3 linked regions of the Oryctolagus cuniculus genome follow. Each later gene encodes a partner of the first gene's protein in a complex. Links are inferred from orthologs where the notes say so. Each region holds a gene or a part of one and is shown in the gene's direction. Other genes may lie near its edges. The genes, in order: NOTCH1, DLL4 and POGLUT1.

Evidence for each region.
Region 2: the proteins of NOTCH1 (region 1) and DLL4 are in contact, whole or in part, in a crystal structure (PDB 4XLW), measured with the Rattus norvegicus proteins. The link is inferred for Oryctolagus cuniculus from reciprocal best matches to the Homo sapiens genes NOTCH1 and DLL4. Residues at the interface, in NP_001099191.1 of Rattus norvegicus: Glu415, Leu418, Ala420, Asn421, Pro422, Glu424, His425, Phe436, Pro447, Arg448, Glu450, Ile451, Asp452, Leu468, Asp469, Gln470, Ile471, Ile477; in XP_006234827.1 of Rattus norvegicus: His65, Thr76, Phe77, Asn109, Phe110, Thr111, Pro113, Tyr180, Ser186, Arg187, Leu188, Lys190, Arg192, His195, Phe196, Tyr199, Lys216, Tyr217, Asp219.
Region 3: the proteins of NOTCH1 (region 1) and POGLUT1 are in contact, whole or in part, in a crystal structure (PDB 5UB5), measured with the Homo sapiens proteins. The link is inferred for Oryctolagus cuniculus from reciprocal best matches to the Homo sapiens genes NOTCH1 and POGLUT1. Residues at the interface, in NP_060087.3 of Homo sapiens: Asn454, Glu455, Cys456, Val457, Asn459, Pro460, Cys461, Gln462, Asn463, Asp464, Ala465, Cys467, Gly472, Glu473, Phe474, Val485, His486; in NP_689518.1 of Homo sapiens: Met103, Phe104, Pro105, Ser106, Arg107, Asp133, Gly170, Pro171, Ala172, Val173, Trp174, Pro178, Thr179, Gly180, Thr214, Asn239, Gln240, Ala241, Val274.

The regions. Positions count from the first base shown.
Region 1 is NC_091432.1:236,551,480-236,556,430, forward strand, and holds the start of NOTCH1 (neurogenic locus notch homolog protein 1), read left to right. Parts: upstream 1-1,826; 5' UTR 1,827-2,010; coding exon 2,011-2,071; intron 2,072-3,207; coding exon 3,208-3,286; intron 3,287-4,951. UniProt on the Homo sapiens protein: Functions as a receptor for membrane-bound ligands Jagged-1 (JAG1), Jagged-2 (JAG2) and Delta-1 (DLL1) to regulate cell-fate determination.
Region 2 is NC_091443.1:64,066,716-64,070,660, forward strand, and holds the end of DLL4 (delta-like protein 4), read left to right. Parts: intron 1-384; coding exon 385-1,087; intron 1,088-1,558; coding exon 1,559-1,667; intron 1,668-2,104; coding exon 2,105-2,110; 3' UTR 2,111-3,088; downstream 3,089-3,945. UniProt on the Homo sapiens protein: Involved in the Notch signaling pathway as Notch ligand. Activates NOTCH1 and NOTCH4. Involved in angiogenesis; negatively regulates endothelial cell proliferation and migration and angiogenic sprouting. Essential for retinal progenitor proliferation.
Region 3 is NC_091435.1:75,996,427-76,000,186, forward strand, and holds part of POGLUT1 (protein O-glucosyltransferase 1), read left to right. Parts: intron 1-1,655; coding exon 1,656-1,714; intron 1,715-3,106; coding exon 3,107-3,274; intron 3,275-3,760. UniProt on the Homo sapiens protein: Dual specificity glycosyltransferase that catalyzes the transfer of glucose and xylose from UDP-glucose and UDP-xylose, respectively, to a serine residue found in the consensus sequence of C-X-S-X-P-C.

The DNA.
Region 1 (4,951 bases):
CGGCTCCGCTCAGAGGCTGCGCTTGGCCTCACAGTGCAGGGTGAGCACACACAGACGTGCACCCGGCGCCGAGCGAGGACGCCTTTACCTTCCACGTCCACAGAGCTGCGCTCAGCTCTGACCGGGCCTGGCCTCTCCCCTCACACCAGGCCAGTGCCAGCCCGGCCACCCCAGCCCTGACGAGGGCGCCCCGGCGTGTCTGAAGGGGAGGAAGTGACCGATGCACCCCGCCTCGGTGGTGCCGGCTCCCAGGGCAGCCTGGGGAACGGCAGGCCCTTCCATTCAGCGGCTTCCCACAGAGGAGGCCTGGCTGCCCCGCACGCCCTGCCCAGGTGTCGGCTCCCAACCCCCCCAGCACGGGGTCACCAAGCAGCCTGCACTGGCAGAGGGGGTCTCCAGGCCCTGCCACCAGGACGTGGCCCTGGTTGGTCTGGACCGCTTTCCTCAGCCCCCACCCCCTGGCTCCGTAAAGAGGGGCTCGGGGGTCGCAGAGCCTCATTCCTGCGTGGATGAGGGCCCAGCCCCTGCCACGTGGGTGCCCCAGCCCCAGGCCCTGGGGGCCTCCCTCCTACTGCACACCCAGGGCCCTGTCTGTGGTCTGCCACCTTCTTCCCTGCCGGCCGAGGGCAGAGGCTGAGAGTGGAGGTGCTGGCCGCAGCGCTGGGGAGGACCCCAGGCCAGGGCTCCCCTCCTTCCGTTCAGGCCGCCCCAGGGATCAGGGACTCTGCAGGGCTCCAGCGGAAGCCCCGGCCCCCTCCCCACCCCGGCGGGAGCAGGGGCGGCGCCGGGTGCGGACCGCGCAGCCCGGCTCTTCCTTCTATGGGCTGCAGGGCTCTGTTACATAAACATGGCGGCGCTGCCTCCGGGGCGCTGACCCCGAGGTGCTACCCCAGCTCTGGCTCTGGGAAGGCAGGAGCGGGCCCCCCGCCGCAGAGCCGCCGCGTCTCCCGGAGACAGGTGTGCCCAGAGAAGGCAGCGGGTCAGGTGCGCAGAGCGCCAGCCTGCGTGCGCCCCCCTGGGCCAGGGCTGCCCCGCTCGGCTCCCAGCTTTCTGCGCCCCCCTGCCCCGGCTGCGGCGTGAACTGGCCAAGGCAGGCACACTTGGGACGCGCTAGCACTGCCGCGCGGAAAACCGGCCGCCCGACGGGACACGTGGGAGCAGCTGTGCGCGTGACAGCCCCGGGTCTCCCTGCACCACCGCGTGCCCGCGCCAGGCCCTGGCCCCTCTCTCCAGGGGCCCCGGCGCCATCAGCCCTCAAGGTCATCGTGACCGGGGTTGGGGGTGGGGGGTCTGGGCGCCATCCTCCGGGCTGTTACCCTCGAGGCCCCGGAGGGCGCAGCCGCCGGGCCAACCACGCAGCCAGGCTTCGCACCGAGCCCCGCGCCAGGCCTCGCTCCGGCCCAGCTCCGAGGGCCCAGCGCCCCGCCGGACCGAGCTGCCCCGCCACGCCCGCGCCGCCTCGGCTATTGAGATGCAAATCGCGCCCCCCTGTCGCCGCGCGAGGCGACGGCCCGGGCGGATCCTTCCGCAGCCCCGGCTCAAACTTTCGGCCTCCGAAAACTTGAGAGCGAGAAGTAGTCCCCGGGCGCCCGCTGCCGCCCGCCCCGCGCCGCCGCGGCCCCCCGCCGCCCAGCGCCCGGCTCCGGACGCGCGCCCCAGGCCGCGGGGCGCGGGGCCGCCCGGGGCGCGCGCGCAGGGACGCGCGGCCCGCGACGGGGCGCGGGGTGCGGAGGGATCGCGGGGCGGGGCCGGCCGGGGCGGGGCGGGGGGCGGCTCTCCCGGCGGGGGCGGAGCGCGGCGCGGCCCCGCGCCTCACTCGTGCCTCGGCCGCGGGCGGGAGCGCAGGGGCGCGGGCGCTGCGGAGGGGCGAGCGGCCGCCGAGCCGGCCCGGACACTGCGAGAGCGCAGCGCGCCGCCGGCCGGGAGGGAGCGGGACCCGCCCGCCGCACCGTCGGGCGCGCGTGTGCGTGGGAGCCGCCGCCCGGGGCAGCGGGCAGCCGACGGGCAGGCATGCGGCCGCTGCCGGCGCCCCTGCTCTGCCTGGCGCTGCTGCCCGCGCTGGCCGCGAGAGGTAGGCGCCCGCCCGCCGCGGCCCGCAACTCCCCGCGTTCCCCGGAAACTTCGCGCGCGGGCGCGCGTGGGGGATCGGGCCCTGGAGGGGCAGGGAGCGGCGGCCCGGCCCCTGCCGCTCGCCCCTCGTCGGGGCGCCGCTCCGCGGTCGGGGTCGGAGCCGGGCGTGGGGCCGTGGGGGCCCCGCGGGGCGCGCCGCCGGCCGCCCGCCGCTTCTCGGTTTGAGTCGAGTCCCTCTGGCTTCCTGTTGCTTGTCGGGGCCGCTTGTGTTCTCTGCTGCGCCCGGATGTCGGGGCGCGGGGCGCGGGGTCCGGGGCCGCGCGGCGCGTGTCGCGCAGCCCGGCTCGCGGGCGGGTGCGTGGGGGTGGGAGATGCGCCGAGGCCTCCCCCGTGCCTGGCGGGACTGGAGTTTTCGGTCGCTCTCCGCAGCTGAAGTTTGGAAACCGCGGGGGCGGCGCGCGGGCTGGGGCGCTGGTTCCCGCGCGCTCCCGTCGGGAACTCCGGGGCGTGAGAATGACCTGTCCGGTACCCCCTCCCAAAAAGTGGGTTCCAGCTCACACCCGTCCCGTGGCAGCCGCGCGCGGGGGTCGCGCGCGCGCGCTCCGCAGCCGCCTTCCGGGGGCCGTGGCGGGGCTGCCCCTGGAGACGCCCGCCGCGGGGGCAGGTATTGGGTGTCGGCGGAGGCGGGGCGGCCCCGGGCGCTGTCCCCGTGCCCCGGAGGCGGCCCCGGCGACAATGGGCCGCTCTGATTCCGCGCCTGGCGCTTTGTCGGCGGGCGGGGCGGCGGGGGCGCAGCTGTCGCATTTTCCCACGAGTGGGGGCTGCCCTGGCAGATCGCGTTCGCACGAGACAATCTGGGTGGCTGGACGGGGCCCCCGCCCTCCAGGGCTCCCCAGCACCCAGCTTGGGGGGGGCTCCAGCTGCCCCTCCCCACCAGTTCACCTGCTGGCCTCGCCCACCTGTTCCCAGGCCTGGCCACCTCTGGGCACAGACCCTGGGCCAGAGCACTGAAGCCCCCGGGTTTCATCGGGGCGGGCTGTGGCCCCGGCCGCTCCCCACCCCACGCTCATGCCCCGGAATCGAGGGGTGGGCCCTCGGGAAGCCCCGGTAACCACCCTCTCTCCCCCACTTCCCCAGGCCCGAGATGCTCCCAGCCCGGGGAGAGCTGCATGAATGGTGGCAGGTGTGAAGTGGCCAACGGCACGGAGGCCTGCGTGTGAGTACCGCCGCGTCGCGCCGGGGACCTGTTGCCTTGGTGGGGAGCCGAGCCCCTGCCTGCTGCGGCCCGGAACACTGGGCCATTGTCTTCTGGGGATAGCCCAGAAGGCCGGCTGGGTCACGTGCTGACTTTTATTGGACCCAGCCTGGCAATTACTTAATCACCAGCAATTATGCCGCACGCGGGTCTGGCCGCTGGAGGTCTCAGTGTGCTTCGGGGTCGAGGGGCGACCCCTGGCGCCCCTTGATTCCTGAAGACCCTGGGACACGGTGGGTGTGGGGGGGTGCTGTGTGTCCTCCCCCACTGTGTCACCCGGGGAGCCGCCTCCCCTGCGCAGGAAACAGCTCCAAACAAAACCCACCCCCTGCTCGGCCCAGAGCCCTCCCTGGGCCCGGGGTGCCGGGCTGCACCCAGCTCCTGGGGCTGTGGGATGTGGGGCCGCCTGCGGGGAGTTTGCTTCCTGTCTCGGCATCTGCAGCCTCTGACCTCCCAGACTCGGGGTGGCGTGGGCGGGCGGAGGCCGGGATGTCTTGGAATGTGCTCCTCCTCGGCCGCCCGCCTGCCCGGGAGCCCCCCGTCGGCCCCCGGCCGGCGCCCGTCAAGTTCAGCTCGTCCCTGACCAGAATAACGAAGAGGCGTCTGGAACCGGAGGGAGTTCCCCAGCCGTGGGCGCCCTCGTTCCAACCGCCCAAGGGCCCATTGCCGTGGCAACCCCGGCGGCTCCTGCCGCCCCGGTGCCCGGCCTGTGGGCCGGCAGCCCCCCCCACGCCGAAGCCAATTAGGCCGTCTGCGTGCAGTTTAATGGACAAAGCGGATTGTGTCTTTGTCAGGCACTAATGAATGCATGCCGGCTCCTCTACCCCCTGGCTTTTGGGGCTGCCCTGCCCGTGCAGAAGCCTCGCGGACGCTGGCGGCCCTAAATCTCGTTTCCTTTCATTCAGGGGCCGACAGCTGGGCTTCAGCGGCCGCGCAGCCGCTATTGTTGGGGAGGCGGATTAATGCCGAGTGATTAATTACGCCCTTCGCTGCCTCGGCGCTCGGCGCTCCGCGGGCCAGGGCTGGGAACCTTCCTGGGAGGGCGGTGCCGGGCGCGCGCCCCCCGAGTCCCCTGCCCGGGCCCGGCGGGAAGCCTGCCTCAGTTGGGCCTGGCGCTCAGCCGAGCTCTGCCACAGAGGCCTCATTGTGCCCACGCCACCCCCCAGAGCCAATTGGAAGGCAGGACGGAAGCGCCGTGGGCAGAGGCCCCCACCCCTGGGCAGCAGGGCCTCCGAGGGACGCAGGTCCGGGGACTCTCACTGCCCCCCCCCCCCCGTGGGCCGCCCTGCCTCCCGGTTCCCGCCCAGCCTTCTCAGAAGGCCCCGGAAGGTCTGTCTAGGAGTTGGCCAGAGCCCACGGGGGGCCCATGGGGGCCCAGGGGAGAATCCCACCCTCTTCCCAAGGAGGCAGCTGGCATGGGGCCTCCCGAGCCCGCCGGCCCCATCCCGGCTCCGTGCTTGGAAAGTTCTGGACTCATGGTGCTGACTCCCCTGCAGAGGGCATGGGAACGGATCAGGCGGCGGCTCGCCTGTCCCCGGTGAATCACCTCTTCCCATCCCGGGGAGAAGGAGCCGTCCCGGGCGGCCGGTCAGGTGGTTGCGGGGCTCAGAGGCGGAAGGAGCCATG
Region 2 (3,945 bases), on another chromosome or scaffold:
TCTGCTATGCACCAAGCAGGAGCTCTTGCCTCTGTGCACCTTCGTACCTGCCTGGGCACCACGTGCTACCCCAGTGCAGCAAGTGAGGAAGCTGAGGTTCAGAAGGCAAAGTTACAAGCGCCAGGTCCCCAGCTGGAGGGAGACAGTTGCTCCCCAAACTGGAGCAAAGGCGTCTGAGTCGAAAGTTCTGTGAGACGCTAGTGCTTTTAGGTGTAGGGAGGCAGAGTCACTCTGTGCTCTGGGTCCTGGCGGTATAGTGGGCTCTGTCAGCGCTGCCTGTGCTCACAGAGCCAGAAGGACCTAGTTTGTCCCCACGATGGGCCCCCATCCCTGCACCGGCGACCTGTAGGCTGTTGCTGACCCGCGCCCCGTGTGTTCTCACAGGGGGCCAGTGCCTGAACCGAGGCCCAAGCCACATGTGCCGCTGCCGTCCCGGATTCACAGGCACCCACTGTGAGCTCCATATCCGCGACTGTGCCCGCAGCCCTTGCACCCACGGTGGCACTTGCCATGACCTGGAGAATGGATTTGTGTGCACCTGCCCGGCCGGATTCTCTGGTCGGCGCTGCGAGGTGCAGGCACCCGGAGATGCCTGTGCCTCTGGGCCTTGTTTCAACGGGGCCACCTGCTACACCGGCCTCTCCCCGGACAGCTTCGTCTGCAACTGCCCCTACGGCTTCGTGGGCAGCCGCTGCGAGTTCCCTGTGGGCCTGCCGCCCAGCTTCCCCTGGGTGGCTGTTTCCCTGGGCGTGGGGCTGGTCGTAGTGCTGGTGCTGCTGGGCATGGTGGCGGTGGCTGTACGGCAGCTGCGGCTCCGGCGGCCCGAGGATGGTGGCAGGGAGGCCATGAACAACTTGTCGGACTTCCAAAAGGACAACCTGATCCCCGCTGCCCAGCTCAAGAACACAAACCAGAAGAAGGAGCTGGAAGTGGACTGTGGCCTGGACAAGTCCAACTGTGGCAAACAGCAGAACCACACATTGGACTATAACCTGGCCCCTGGGCCCCTGGGCCGGGGCACCATGCCTGGGAAGTATCTACACAGCGACAAGAGCTTAGGAGAGAAGGTGCCACTGCGGTTACACAGGTGAGCTACCCGGAAGGCCTTGGGCCTGGCCCTGCATCCCGACAGAGGCCTGCCTGGGCTCCTCCCAGGGAGTGGGGAGCTGGCCCAGGCCCTTGGCTATTGATAGGCGTCTCCTCCAACACGATTTCTGCCAGGGACCCTTTGCCCTCCCTCCCCATTTGTGGGCTCATTCACAGATGTCAGGTGTGCACAGGCTGTCCTGACTCCCATCCCTCCGTGGCTGTGGCTTCCAGTGGCAGTGCCACGCTTTCCCAGGCCTGAGACCTAAGGTTGGGGAGTCCTGGGGCTCTCCTAGGGGCCTCCTCCCACCCACCTCCCTGGTGAGGCCAGCTCTGCTCAAGCCCCTTGGTCTTGCCCAGTGCCGCTTCTGCAAGCGCCCCAGCTCTCTAGGGTCCGGGCTCCCCGATCCCCACCCCAGCCTCTCCCCACCCCCACCCTCTGCTCACAGCGCCCCGTCTTGTGTTCCCTCAGTGAAAAGCCAGAGTGTCGGATATCTGCGATATGCCCCCCCAGGGACTCCATGTACCAGTCTGTGTGTTTGATATCAGAAGAGAGGAACGAGTGTGTTATTGCCACAGAGGTGAGTGCTGGGCCCGCCATCCCTCCTGCCCTGTGGGGGCTGGGGGCAGTGTCCAGTCACTGTGGACCTCGTGGGCCACTCCTGGAGGCTGGGTCAGAATGCCTCCTGGGCAGGCTTTCGGGTCCCTGCTGGCTTTGTTGCCATGGAGGGGGTGAAACAGGATACATAAGCCAGGGCTGGCCTGGTCTCTCCCACTGTGTTGGCACTGTGCTGGGCAGCCGTGGCACTAGGCCAGCTCCCTGGTGCTGCTTCCCAGCCGCTGGTGGCTGAGGGGGGTTGCCTTGGGTCCTCCTGCCCCTTCCCACTGGCCTCCTCCATCAGACCACCCCATGAGCACCAGCTCCGCAGTTCAGGTGTGGCGTGTCAGGGTGGGCAGCCCCACACTGCCTTCAGCCCTGCCTGCCCTTGGCTCACGCCTACCTTCTGACGCTCCCCAGGTATAAGGCAGGGGCCTACCCGGGACAGCCTGGCTTCGGCCCAGCAGCTGGACTTTCCTTCTGCGTTGTTTACATTGCATCCTGGATGGGGCGCTTTAAATATGCAACGTGCTGCTCTCAGGAGGAGGAAGAATGGTGCGAACCCGACAGACTGTGACCTTGCCAAGAGATGCAATGCCCTTGAACACCTGGGGGCGTCTGTCTGGCATCAGATTGGCAGCTGCGCCAGCCAGGGGAACAGAGAGGAGAGGAGCGGTGCCACTGGGACCTGCCCTGCCAGCCAGGGCTCTGGCCTGCTTTCCAGAGAGTGGTGGTGGTTCTGTGGGGGCCTGGAGCTGCCATGGCCTGCACTGGCATTGGTGTTTCCAAAAGTGCCTTCGCCCAGGCTCCGTGGAGACAGCCGGGCCCAAATCAGAGAGGACAGAGGGGGCCAGAAAGCCATCAGGTGTGGCTTTTGGCAAGGGTAGCCCTGCAGGTGAGGCGAGGGCCCGCAGGGAGAGGAGCACTTTCTGCCCCTGCCTCCTAGCAGCGCACGTGGGCCCTTCTTGGACTGCCCCCCAGCTCCTCTCCCTGGCCAGCCCCCTGGGCAAGAACGTTGGTAAGTCTTACCTGGCACCCATTGCCCTCTGCCCCAGCTGCCTCTGAGCTCCTGGGAGCGACAGGCAGAGGACCTGGCCCTTGTGCCCGTCGGGCACCAGGCCTTGCTGGGGTGCTCAGGGCAATGATGGTGGACATTCCACTGGGGGAGAGATGGGACCCTTCCCTCCCTCGAACCTGGGCTCTGACCATGCCCACTACTGCCCCCAGACAACCCTAGAAGCCCATCTTCAGAAATCAATAATATGAGTTTTTATTTTTTTTGTAGTTTATTTTGGAGTCTAGTATTTCGGTAATTTAAGAATCAGAAGCACTGACCTTTCTACATTTTATAACGTTATTTTGTATATCATGTGTATTTATAACATGGAAGAGATGTGTACAGGAGCTTATGACTGCTTGGGTCCTGTCTTTGTGATGGCAGAATGGGAACCCCCTCCCCACCTTCCGACCCCGAAGAATTCTAAGGCCCCTTCTCGCCCTGCTGCTCCGTGCCCTGCAGGAGCCCCTGGGGCCTGAGCATGCACCTGGGTATGGCCTGCTACACCCCGGCCCTTGCCTCCTTCCAGTGCCTGAGCAGCCCACACTCACCTCTCCCGTGGCCAGCCTCGGCCAGCACTCCTTGCCTGCTGGCTGTGGGCCTGCCCTTTCTGCTGTCACCATCCCCCGGGGCGATGCCCCCCCACCTGAGTCTGTCCTCCCTTCCTCTCCAAGAGCCTTACATGTGCTCATGATACCCCTCAGTCCTGCTCGTTTTTTCCTTTGTCAGACAATGGGGTCTCAACCGTGGCTCCTCCTGCCCTCGGGAGGGTGTAGTGGACAGGGGGCCCTGCTCTTTCTTGGCTGGCTCGGCAGGGCATTGGCCCCAGGAGGGTGGAGCAGGAGGGGGTTGGCCTTGGGTTTGCCCTTAACAGCTGCGGTGGCAGCAGGAGTTTATTAAGGAATGCAGGGATGGGGAGATGCAGGCTAGGTTCCTCTGGCTGGGGTGCTAAGGAGGGAGCTTCCAGTCTCTGCTTCATGCCTGGCTTCCTCCGCTGTGCAGGATAGTCCCTAGGGTGCCACCGCCCTCTCTTCACAACCACAAACATCCCCCATGGAGAGCCACATGATGAAAAAAATGAGCCATTGACAAAAAGTTGAGCAGATGCTCCCAGCTCCCCTCCCACCCAGTGGGCTCCAAGTGCAGGCAGCCCTCCTGACCTTGCTCTTCTCCTTGACAAGGTGCACCTGCACCCGCACCTGCA
Region 3 (3,760 bases), on another chromosome or scaffold:
CATCTCTCTGTGTCTCCCTCTTCCTCTGTGCCCCTCTGTTCCTTCTGTCCATCCCTGTCCTCTGCCCCTGCTTCCCTCTCTTCTTCCCTCCTCCTTTGTTGCCCCGCCTTTCAAATAAATAAAACTTTAAGAGGAAAAAAAACCCTTAAAGCCCTAAATTTCCTCATCTGGAATTTCCATCCACCATATGAGTAGGCTTTGAAAAAAAGCTCTAAATTTCCTGGGGGAAAACTGGAGGTATGTTATTATTTGGTATGGCTTTAATCAAACTGGAGCAAATGAATTTAAGAAACTTTATTGAATAATACAAGTAAAAAAAGTATTTTTTTATTAATTTGTTTATTTGAAAATCAGAGTTACACAGAGAAGGAGAGGCAAAGAAAGAAAGGTCTTCCATCCGATGGTTCACTCCCCAGTTGGCCACAACGGCCAGAGCTGCGTCGATCCGAAGCCAGGAGCCAGGAGCTTCCTCTGGGTCTCCCACATGGGTACAGAGGCCCAAGGGCTTGGGCCATTCTCCACTGCTTTCCCAGGCCATAGCAGAGAGCTGGATCAGAAGTGGAGCAGCTGGGACTCGAACCGGCGCCCATATGGGATGCTGGCACTGGAGGCGCCGGCTCCCCCCAAAAAGATGTATTCATTCCGCACACAAGTTGTTAGCATCTACCAGAAGCAACCAGACTTCCTCCCCTGCTAAAGTGGATGGAATGTACCTGGGGGTCTCACATTCAAATACTCTAGGGCAGCAGGTGATAGAAAAATATGAGCGAGGGGCCACCATTGTGGCATAGCAGGTAAAGCTGGTGCCCCACATGGGCACTGGTTCGTGTCCCAGCTGCCCTACTTCCAATCCAGCTCCCTGCTAAAAAGCCTGAGAAAAGCAGCGGAAGATGGCCCTAGTTTCTTGGATCCCTGCTATCCACATAGGAGACCTGGAAACATTCCCGGCTTCAGCCTGGCCCAGCCCTGGCCCCTGCTGCTGTGAAGTAACCAGCAGATGGAAGCTCTCTGTCTCTCCCTTTCTGTCTGTACTTCTGACTTTGAAATAAATTATCTTTAAAAAAAAAAAAGAAAAGAAAAGAAAGGTATGAGCAGGAGACAGCACAAACAACTCCAGGCGCTTGCTGCTGGGTGGGAGTAGGAGCCCCGTTTGCCAGACCTTTCTTGGCTTTTTTCATCCAGGAAAAGTTGGAAATGTGAATTTTTGCAAGAAATAGCTTGCCACCTATAAATGTTAGTAATGGTCTGAATAATTTTTAACTACTTTGCATGCCCAGCAAAATTTGTGCGTGGCCTCTTCTCAACCCACCAGCCAGACTCGTGCCCTTCTGGGTGTGATTTAGAGTGAAATGTGCTACAGGCTGTGACCTCTTAGTTCAAAGGAGGGCAGCATGGCGTCAGGTGAACTTAAACTCTAGAACCAAATAGACCTAGGTTAAAATCTCTGCTTCTTCTGCTTAGGGCCATATGACCTTAAGCAACCCTCTCAACTTCTTGAAGTTTTGGGTTCTTCGTTTATATAATGGGTATAATAATGCGTCCCGAGTGTGTTTACTATGAGGCTGAGTGAGGTACTTAGATGAAGTGTTCCTCAGTGCTTGCTGCCCAGTGATTGCCAGTAAATATCAATATTAAGTATTTATTTTCTATTACAGGATACCTTGGGGAAGCCAGCTGCTAAGGATGTTCATCTTGTAGATCACTGCAAATACAAGTAAGACTTCTAGTTTCTGTATTGCCTTTGAAATAGCTTCACTTTGGGGGAAGATTTTCATATCAAGGCCTATTTGGGGTATATGAAAGTTGTATTAATTTATTTAGCTGGCTTTTTTAAAAGACTTATTTATTTTTATTTGAAAGGCAAAGTTAGAGAGAGGCAAAGGCAGAGAGACAGAGAGAGAGCGATCTAGCTTCCATCCACTGGTTCACTCCCCAACTGGCCTCAATGGCCAGGGCTGGGCCAGGTGGAAGCCAGGAGGCAGGAGCTTCTTCTGAGTCTCTCATATGGGTGCAGGGACCCAAATACTTTGTCCATTTTCTGCTGCTTTTCCAGGCTCATTAGCGGGGAGCCGGATCAGAAGTGGAGCAGCTGAGACTCAAACCGGCACCTATATGGGATGTCGGCACTGCAGGGAGCAGCTTTACCCACTATGCCACAGCGCTGGTGCTCTATTTAGTTGCCTTTTATTGAAGGCCTACTGTGCACCGACCTGAGTACTGTAGGGACTGAGAGGAATGAAACGTGGTTGGTCTCTGCTTCTAGAAGCCTTCCAGTCATTAAAGTGATGGGATTACTTCTCCCCACGTCCTACCAACTGGTAGTTGAAGTCCTATCTCAGATTAATAAATATTATAATTAAATGCCAAGACTGAAAATTTTGGATGAAGAGGTTAAGCCAGGTCTGGAGGAGGGTAGCGAGGAGGTTCAGAGGTATGAATGCCAATTGCACACCCAGTGGGAACTATAGGATAAAAGCAACGCTGGTGGGAGACAGCGGAACATGCTTGAGTAATGCTGCAAAGAAAATGTTGTTTCTGAAGATAGCTTTTTCCATGGGGCATTTCTTTGATGATTGACCAGATCAGCTCATTCTCTACAGACTGTAGAAGAGGGTAATGTCCAGGAAACCAGGGGCACCTCTGAGCACATGGAGTACACTAGAGGGAAACCAGGCTTTGGGGGCTATGACTGGTTGCAGACATTTGGCCTAGAGAAGCTTTTGGAATTTTATTCGCTCTTGATTTTGATGTATATCACTGAACATTGCTATATTTTCTCAAATATGTCCCAAATCTGTCATTCCTTCTGACCGTCATATTCCCTTGTCTCCTTGTATCCCACCACCCAACGAGCTGTTTACAGAAAGTACCCTTGTTTTATCTTCACCCATCATTCCCAGAACAACCTGCAGCCCCAGCCCTAGAAAAGCAAGGGGTTTATGGAAGCCCCACAGGGACATACTGCTTGTCCTTGAAAACTGAAAATGGAAAGGGAAGGGAGAGGAATGGTAAAAGGAGAGAATGGGAGGAAGGAATATGAAAAAAGGCCATATTTCTGACAGCAGGCACAGAATATCAAATTTATTTTGCTCTTTCTTTTCCCCAGGTATCTGTTTAATTTTCGGGGGGTAGCTGCAAGTTTTCGATTCAAACACCTCTTCCTGTGTGGTTCACTTGTTTTCCATGTTGGTGAAGAGTGGCTCGAATTCTTCTATCCACAACTGAAGCCATGGGTGCACTATATCCCAGTGAAAACAGACCTCTCCAATGTCCAGTAAGCTGCTATCCCTAAGACAGAACTCCTAATGACCCTGCAACCCACCCCCACTTTCCAGTGATTTCAGGCTTTTAGTCCAGATGAGTTTCTCTATTGAAAGCTTTATTTCTCTTCTATTGATTGCATCTATGAGGACACTTCCAAAAGTTCATGGAAAAGTGGAGCTGAAAGATAAGTTTATTGAAGGAAGTGCTTGCTTAGCAGTTAAAATGCCTGTCTCCCATATTGGAGTAACTGGATTTGATTCCTGATTGTGGCTTCTGGCTCCTGACAGTATAGACCCTAGGAGGCAGTGGTGATGGCTTAAATAATTGGATTCTTTCTGTCTATGTGGGAGACTTGGATTGAATTCCTACCTCCCACCTTTAGCCCCAGCCCAGCCCTTCCCATTGTGGGCAGTTGGAGAGTGAACGCAAGGATGGGCTTTTTCTCTCTGCTGCAAATAAGTTATTTTATTGCATGAAAATTTTGAAATCCATGTAT